Linked DNA regions of Arabidopsis thaliana. The protein of the gene in region 1 interacts with the protein of each later gene in a pairwise test. Each region holds a gene or a part of one and is shown on either strand. Other genes may lie near its edges. The genes, in order: KCO5 and AT1G22550.

Evidence for each region.
Region 2: the proteins of KCO5 (region 1) and AT1G22550 interact in a protein complementation assay, tested with the Arabidopsis thaliana proteins (one large-scale study listed by BioGRID).

What each region holds. Positions count from the first base shown.
Region 1 is NC_003075.7:791,465-795,965, reverse strand, and holds KCO5 (Ca2+ activated outward rectifying K+ channel 5), read right to left. Parts: upstream 2,790-4,501; 5' UTR 2,564-2,789; coding exon 1,485-2,563; intron 1,181-1,484; coding exon 1,033-1,180; 3' UTR 729-1,032; downstream 1-728. UniProt on the Arabidopsis thaliana protein: Probable voltage-independent potassium-selective tonoplast ion channel.
Region 2 is NC_003070.9:7,965,947-7,970,862, reverse strand, and holds AT1G22550 (Major facilitator superfamily protein), read left to right. Parts: upstream 1-2,170; 5' UTR 2,171-2,310; coding exon 2,311-2,434; intron 2,435-2,523; coding exon 2,524-2,741; intron 2,742-2,824; coding exon 2,825-3,369; intron 3,370-3,447; coding exon 3,448-4,255; 3' UTR 4,256-4,363; downstream 4,364-4,916. Other genes in the region: AT1G22540 (Major facilitator superfamily protein), read right to left, coding at 4,641-4,916.

The DNA.
Region 1 (4,501 bases):
AACACAGATCATAATCATACATTTGATCAGTTCAAAGGTAGTGGATATATAGAAGTGGAACCCATTTACATTGCCTTTATGAGATTCTTTGTTGTCGGTTCATAAGATACGTCCGAAAACAACAATATTAATTCAAACTTTAAATTATCTTAAGAGATGATCGAAATAACTATAAAAAGTCAATTCCTACATTTTTCTTCTTCTTTCAAAGCTAAAGTATTCAGCTAAAACATTTAAAGAAAACACTAAAAAGTTTCTTCTCAATTCTCATATGTAGTCATTATCCGAGTAGTATCACTCAACAACTCTCAACTTGTTTTGTTTTAATGATAAATTGATATGCAGAAGCAGAATAACCAATACCAATCTGTGTTAAACTGATTATCTGATTCTATAATCAATCTTACCGGTTTAATAATCATTTTAGACTAAAAAAATTTGTGCATGGACTAGGATTGATGACTTAGTCAATCGACCTTTCTACTGAATCAAGAGACAAAAAGCGTCAGCTTTCTACTGACTGATCTCACAAGTGAAAGATTAGTTTGTCCATATCATTTTTAATTTTCTTAATTATATATCTCACCAAACTCAAATGAATGTCTCAGTCTCTTTGTTCATTGTCATCTCATAAAAAAAGATATACATGAAAATATCTCGACATGTTCATTATTTTGAAAGATAAATAAAGAAAATTGTTACGGACTTTGGAGATTACGTGTCTCGGCCCAAAACCTCTTGATATTAAAAAAATAATAAAAAATAAAATAAAATAAAGAAAATTGTTAACAACCTTGCCCGAGCATCTGATTAGCGCTTAGCGAATATCTTTGAACATAATTTTTTTATAGAGAGCAAAAATAAAGCATATACATTTTCATATTATCTCTTATAAACTGAGAGATAATTCTTTGTATGAATCACTGTTGCTACATATATTCAGTTATTTTTCTTTAAAAAGGAATTAAAAAAAGAGAAGATAATTGAATAAGAAGAAAACCTAAAAAAGCAGAGACAGAGAATGTTCTTCTGTCACAAAGGATCCCCCAAAAGATCAGGTAATGTGATTTTTCCTATTTGATTAGGATCAAGTTTCTCGAACTGAATCACAACTTGGTCAATGTCTTTCTGAGTGATCTTCCCCATTTCCTTAAGCTTCAACACTATATACTCTGATTTACTGAAACACACACCAAAACCAAATCAAAACATAAAAAAAAAAGTCAAAACACTAATCACTCAAACTTAAATCATTGAAATTAGATTACACAAAGACATAACTAAACTGTTGCTTGCAAGAAAAAGTCTTAACATTAACATGATTAATCTAAAGCTTAACACTCTCTGCAACTTATTTGACCTAAACTTCACACAAATTGCATAAAACCCTTTATCAGAATCAGCTCAAATCACTCTCATCTCTAAGCAATTAATCCAAGATTCTAAAAAAAAAAACAAAGTTGAGGTTTTTAAAAGATGTTAACCTGATGAAACCATGTTGATAAGTATCAGCTTTGAGCAAATCATCAACAGTGATTTCTCTATTCAACGCCAATTTAACAGCTTTCCGATGCCGGCGATCAATTCTCGCTTCCGCCAAATACAAAAACGCACGCGCCACCGCAAGAGTCGAAACAAGTAGCCAAACCGCCGCAAAAAGCCTCCCTTGAAGCGTTTTAAAAGCACGATCACCATAACCAACAGTAGTCACCGACATAACCGACAAATAAACCGAATCAACAAAACCCAATTCCTCAACGAAATGCAAAACCAAAGCACCAACACCGATACACAAAACGACGACGCATAACGCTAAACAAACTTTCATCCTTATCCTCATCCTCCCTTTCTCAAAATCAATAATATAATCTTTAGCAGAGAATCTATGATGATGATGGTGTTGATGATGCTGCCTCGTTTGGATTCCGGTGAGAATCATACTCTCTTGAAGATCCAAAACGTAGTTAACAACACCACTGAGTAAAATATCCAAGAACCCGAATCCGAACAAGACGAAAACAACAGCGAAGATCTTTGTCCATGGAGTCAACGGAGCGATGTCACCGTAACCAATAGTACACATAGTGACGATACAGAAATAGAGAGCGTCGACTACAGGATGGGTTTCGATTCCTGAGTAGTGGTCACGATTGAATGAGTAGATTGAAACGCCTAAGGTTAAGTAGACGATTAGCAAGAAAATCGCTTGTCTGATTATGGATTTAGAGACTGGTGATGGTTTTTTGGTTTCTGGAGGTTTGGTTCTTAAGTCTTTGATGATTACCATAGCTGGAGCTGTACGAGATCGGTGAAGTGGTCTTGTCTGAGATAAAAAGCGATTTGTTTCGTCTGAGTCTGAGTCTTGGTCTTCTTTGTCGTCTTGTACGGATTGTTCGAGGTCTTGATGATGAAGGAGAAGACGTTCTTGGGAGATTTCATGGAAGAAGGAAGTGTTTGAGATAGAGCGAGGGATTGTGATGGAGGCGGAGGAGGAGGAGGAGGAGGGATTTTCCGGTATGGGTTGGAGGCGGAAACGTGGTTGTGGGCTGATGAGTGGTTCCATTTACCAACAAATTAGGAATCTCTGAATCTTGAAAAGCTAATAAAAATGAAATCTTTTACCAAACGGAAAACGCCAAAAGAAAAGAAAAAAACAGAGAGAGGAGTGTGATTGGTGTTTTGGATTAGCAATTTGTTTATAGAATGGGGCACACATAGTATGCCACGTATGAAAATCAGATTTATCGTCAGACCACATGTGTATTATTATTGTTAGTTCATGGCTTCACGCAAGTAAGTGTTTAGGTTTAGATTGGTAATGGTATCTATATATACATTTTTCTAATCATTTTAGCAAATAAATCCTCTACTTGACACTTATTTACAATGGTATACCATTGGCATTAATTCTTTTTTCTTTAATTATTTAATTTGATTTTTAATTCTTTATTTAATATATCAATCACATTATTCATTCAAATTTAATCTAAACAACAAACTTTAAATCAAATCCCTTAAAATTAGCTATACATAATTATTTAAATGATTATTAATATTATACTTTATTAAAAAGGTAAATATTATAATTATTTAAAGTTTATAAAACGTTTATAATATTTAAGAGAAAAACGTTTATAATATTTATAAAATACAAAACTATATGTTACATATAGAGAAATATTTTAGATGTAAAATCTATAAAAAATCAAATAACTATTTGAAAGACACCTTTTAAATTTATTTGAATTATAAATCTTTTAATAAAAATATTATTTAAACAAAAAATTTAAAAAATAATTATTAATTTCACCGAACGGGATTAGATTGTATGACGGTTTTAGAATATTAAAATATATGAACTTTATAAATTATAACAATTAAATAACCATTTAAAATAAAAAGTTTGAAATTGATTTGAATTATATATAATTAAAATTAAAGTATTATTAAAACAAAAATAATAAAATAATATTTAATTTTATTGAACGGGGTTAGATGGTAGAACGGGTTTGGGTCGATAGTAATATTAGACAGTATACCTAGGATGAAATCCATTAAATATGTTTAATTTCATTGAACGGTATTAGATGGTAAGACGGGTTTGAGTTTATAGTAATACGACACGTTATACAACGGGTGAAATCCTATAACTAACAATTAAAATACAATGATATAATTTAAAATATATGACAAAAGAAACAATCTTAACAAAAATCATATATAATTTTAAATTTTAAATTTTAAAAATCGACTTACGGTGTACTCCATGATAAAATCAAGGGATTGTACAATATATAAAAATTATGATTATATATTTATAAAATACAAACAATATGTTACATACAGATAATTTATAAAATAATATATTTTTAGTTATTTTTAATAAAATAAATAGTCCCGCGGTACATCGCGGGTTAAAATCTAGTTTTTAGTGCAATTTTGCAAGTATTTTGTCAATTTAACAGTATAGTGTTAATAAAATATATGATTTTTTTGTTTTGTTTTGATTTTAAAAAGTATAAATAAAAGAATATTAGAAAAGTAAATGAGTTAGTATTTTATGTTTTATGTGTTTCCACCATTATGTAATTTACATATTACCAATTTACCAATCGAATTTTTTGAAGGGCAAGCAAAATATATGTGACAAATTTCATTTCATCGACTATACGTTATACATAATTAGGCCTTTTATTGACTAACTAGGCTTGCTTAAAGGTCCATTAAGATTATGCATGTTTAACCATTTAAGGCTTAAAATACAATGTTACTGTCAATGGTAGTCTTCTAAGTTTGGAGAGATTTCTTTTCCTTGGGTTTGTTCGTTGTTGATGAATATGATAGCGGTCTCGATCCATCTTCATTCTCATTCTTGAGATTGGTGATATTTATGCTCTTTGTGACTTTGTCCCTGTTTTCAATTTTCATGATCTATTTAGATTTGATCGCGTTTTGAAATGTTTTCGAGTTTTTTTCATGAATTTCATGACTTTGTCCATCG
Region 2 (4,916 bases), on another chromosome or scaffold:
CAGCCATTCCTTATTACCAAAAGCTCTATCCAATCTGCTCTGGATCCACAAGTCATACCTTCTCCCTGCCCAAGTAAATCTATTACCAGTACTCGCCAACTCCACCATCCCGCAAGCTTCATGCATTTCCTTGAAAGGTTTAAAGTAAGACTCACATCTCTTCGGGCCACCAATCTTTTCCTCATTATGCAGAATTTCATTGAAATCACCCACCATACACCATCTTTCTCTCCTTCCAACTCCAATTATGCTTAGTCTTTCCCAAACAATCTTTCTTTTTTTAAAGTCGGGGTCACCATACACACAAGACAGAAAAAAGTTCACCGCACCAAACTGCACTTGAAGATCAATCAAATTCTTATCAGCAAACTTGATATCGATCTTAACACTTTCCTTCCAAAAGATAGCTAAACCACCACACCTTCCAACAGGCTCTATAGAATACACTCTATCATAACCTAAAAATGTATGCAAATCAACAAGAACATCTCTACTATTCATAGTCTCCATCAGAAACAACATCTCAGGGAAATACTTTTTACGCAATTCCTTAAGACGAGGGAAAGCCAAGTCTTGAGACCGTCCCAAGCCTTGACAATTCCAGCTGATAATGCTCATTGCGCGGTGGGCAATCCCCCCTTTGGGATCACCTCTAAGGGATTGAGTTTTGTGGATTTTGCAGTGCTAGTTCCCTCATCAACTGCCTTTCGTTTCTCTTTAGCACCATGACTGAGACCTTTCTTCAACTCTTGTGATGCAGCAAGACCTGAAGCCGGTAAAGGATTAGCTTTCCTCTGATTCTTAGTTGGCCTTTTTCTTGCCTTTGCTTTCTTAGGCTTAATTCCGGATAAGCTAGGTTCAAAGAACCCAGCTTTAAAAACCGCCGAATTATCCTGAAAAGGCTGAGACAAAGCAAGAAAATTGGCATCCACATCAAAGGCATTAGGGCCAGCCTGATTTAAATTCCACGAATGTGAAGAACTTGAAGTCCCACCCTCTTCACGCAGATTGGGCTGAGCTAATACTTTTCCAACATTCCTCAAGTTAATCCCTTCATCAGCATAGCTAAAGAAAACTCCTTTGTCTTTAGACAAGTCCAGATGAACCACAGGGGCTGGTTCATGACTCAGCATTGACTTTCTCAGAACTGGATCCTTCTCTACTTCTCCAACAGACTTTTTCACCTTGTTAATCCTCAGCAGCTTCTCAGTTTCATCAGAGACCAAAAGATATTGTCTCATCCCTTCTAAAACATCTGCAGCGATTCTCGGTCTGCCCGTCAACTTGTCAATCCCAACTTGATCCTCTCTTAAAACCCCAAACAAAGGGTCTGATTCTTTCAAAACAGGGGGTTTCTTAGGTCTCTCCACTGGTTTACCAGAGCGTCTTGCCAAAGCAGCATCTTGTCTTGCTTTTATGAGGACAGGGCAAACATCTCTCTCATGAGTCAAACGTTGACACTCATAGCATCTCTTTTGAACCCGCTCATACTGAAAACGCACTTCTAGTTTATACTTAAACAATAATACGTCAAAATAAAATTTTCAATTTTTAGTTTCCCTTAAGTTTATTCATAAAAGTGTTTATACTTATTATACATGTAATGTGACGTTTTTAACTGAATAACAGTTAAAGGGTCTTACGACGGTTAGTTAAATTATAAACAATTTTAAGTTATACACTATTTAATTACTTTCTCGACTCATAGTACTTTCTTTATTATACAGGAATTGTGGTATATAATGCAACTAATTTTAACAAAAATAAAATAAAATCATGATAGCACAAAATAGTAATCTAAAATCATTATCTGAATTAACACGATTTAAAAAGGATTATTACACTAAGAATTAATAACAAACAATTACTAAAAAAAAAACTTTTAGCTTATTTAAAAGATGAAAATTAGCTTGTATGGATCGTGTCATTTAAATTTAGTAGCTAATAAACCCTAATAGTTGACTTTTGATTTCTGTAAGATAAAATAACGAAAACAGTGATATATAGACATGAAACCGCATGTTTATTGGTTGTTAGTTGTAACTTTAGATTATGTAATCATATTAGAGGATTAAAATATAGCTCGTGAATCACGTCCATTTAAAATTATGATAGCAGCTGTACAAATCATAAAAATAATACAGCTCCTCATAATCAATCACTCATCTGACTAGACTATATAAAAAGAATATATACATATCACAATCTATTTATCGTGTTCATTATTCACGCAGCAAATATAGCTTTAATATCAAAACTAAATATAAATAAATACATATAGCTTAAAATCCAGTTTCCTCCGACAAGAAAATGGCGATAGCCGAAGAAGAAGCTGCACTTATAGAAGATTCCGTCAGCGACTCCGTTGACCACCGTGGACTTCCTGCCGGAAAATCTTCCACCGGCGGATGGAGATCCGCCTGGTACATTATAGGTAAAGAACAGTTTTTGTGATTTGTAAATTGTCTCATAAACCATTATTTTTTAAACATTTTATTTTATTTTTTTGGTGTGGTTTTTTAGGTGTGGAAGTTGGAGAAAGATTTGCTTACTTTGGGATTGGTTCCAACTTAATTACTTACCTCACCGGACCTCTCGGACAATCAACAGCCACCGCCGCCGTGAACGTGAACACATGGTCAGGAACCGCCTCGATACTTCCTGTTTTAGGAGCTTTCATTGCAGATGCTTATCTTGGTCGTTACCGTACCATTGTTGTTGCTTCCCTCATCTACATACTTGTAATAACGTTCTTGTCTCTTACTTCAATATCTTGATAACATTTTAGAATTTTCACTAAAATTTGAGGGGATTTTTGTTACAGGGACTAGGACTATTGACCTTATCCTCTATCTTAATCCTAATGGGATTATCGGAGCAACGTCAACATAACCGCAACGCTTCTGCTAAACCGTTTTTTTGGGTGAATATATTATTCTTTTGTTCTCTGTATTTGGTGGCGATCGGACAAGGCGGACACAAGCCATGTGTTCAAGCTTTTGGTGCTGACCAGTTTGATGTGGGAGATCCAAAGGAGAGAATAAGTAGAGGATCGTTTTTCAATTGGTGGTTCTTGAGTTTATCCGCGGGAATAACTTTGTCGATTATTGTGGTGGTTTACGTTCAAGACAATGTTAATTGGGCTCTTGGGTTTGGTATCCCTTGTTTGTTCATGGTCATGGCTCTTGCTCTCTTCTTGTTTGGAAGAAAAACTTATAGATATCCAAGAGGAGATCGCGAGGGGAAGAATAACGCTTTTGCGAGGATCGGTAGAGTTTTCTTGGTGGCGTTCAAGAATCGGAAACTGAAGTTAACACATTCAGGTCAGTTGGAAGTTGGTTCGTACAAGAAATGTAAAGGACAACTTGAGTAAGTTCACAAGTCTTGAATCTTTTGAGTTTTGGTTTATTGTGACTTGAGTATAAAGTTTTCTTTATTTTTACTAAGGTTCCTAGCAAAAGCGTTGCTACCAGGAGAAGGAGGTGTAGAGCCATGTAGTAGTAGGGACGTGGAAGACGCGATGGCTTTGGTTAGGCTTATTCCGATATGGATCACATCAGTAGTGAGCACGATTCCTTACGCTCAATATGCTACTTTCTTCACAAAACAAGGCGTTACGGTGGACAGAAAAATCTTGCCGGGTTTCGAGATCCCTCCGGCTTCTTTTCAAGCACTCATCGGTTTATCGATTTTCATCTCAGTTCCAACTTATGAGCGTGTTTTCCTTCCGTTAGCTAGATTGATTACCAAAAAGCCTTCAGGGATCACAATGCTACAAAGAATAGGAGCTGGAATGGTGCTCTCCAGCTTAAATATGGTGGTTGCAGCGTTAGTAGAAATGAAACGGCTCGAGACGGCTAAAGAACATGGGCTTGTGGATAGACCGGACGCAACCATCCCAATGTCCATATGGTGGTTCGTTCCTCAGTATTTACTACTTGGGATGATCGATGTATTCTCACTAGTGGGGACACAAGAATTCTTCTACGACCAGGTCCCCACGGAGCTAAGGAGTATTGGTCTTGCACTTTCTTTGAGTGCGATGGGTCTTGCGAGCTTCTTGAGCGGTTTTCTAATCACTGTGATTAATTGGGCTACCGGGAAAAATGGCGGCGATAGCTGGTTCAATACTAACCTGAACAGAGCCCATGTCGATTATTTTTACTGGTTGCTTGCTGCTTTCACTGCCATTGGGTTCTTGGCGTTTTTGTTATTATCCAGGCTGTATGTGTATCGCCGTGTAGATCAAGTCTAAGAAAAAAAAAGTCAACGTGTATCTACTTTCATATCATATTTGGTTATTCATAACGTGGTTAGAAACTCTTTAACCTATTTTTTATTCAACAATTTTAGTTTATTAAGATGAAATCTCTGGAAGTTAGCTTGGAACACAGCTGGATAATATACACGATAAGGAAAAGACTATACACCAAACATGAAAAAATATACATTTACTGGTGTTGAGCCATGTAATGGTAGGGACGTGAAAGATGCGATGGATTTGGCAAAAGAGCCACATGATCAACACGATATACCAGACATGAAAAGTATACATTTGCACAGTAATGATTTGTGTATTCAAAAATTACACAAGAGAGGGAAAGAGAGTACCTGCGATATTTAAACGAGAGATTTTGGGTTTAACTGGTGTCGAGCCTTTTAGAGACGTAAGACTTTGCAACATACAAGTAGGAGGCTAAGCCAATGAAGCTGAGACAAGCGAGTAACCAGTAAAAGTAATCGAGATGAGCTTGGTTCAGGTTGTTTGCGAACCAACTCGCTTGACCAGATTGGCTTGTCGCTTTCTCAATGATTGATATCATGAAACTGCTGAGAAAGTTACCAATACCGAATATGCTCAAGTACAGAGCCAACCCCACACTCCTCAGCTCATTCGGGACTTGGTCATAGAAGAA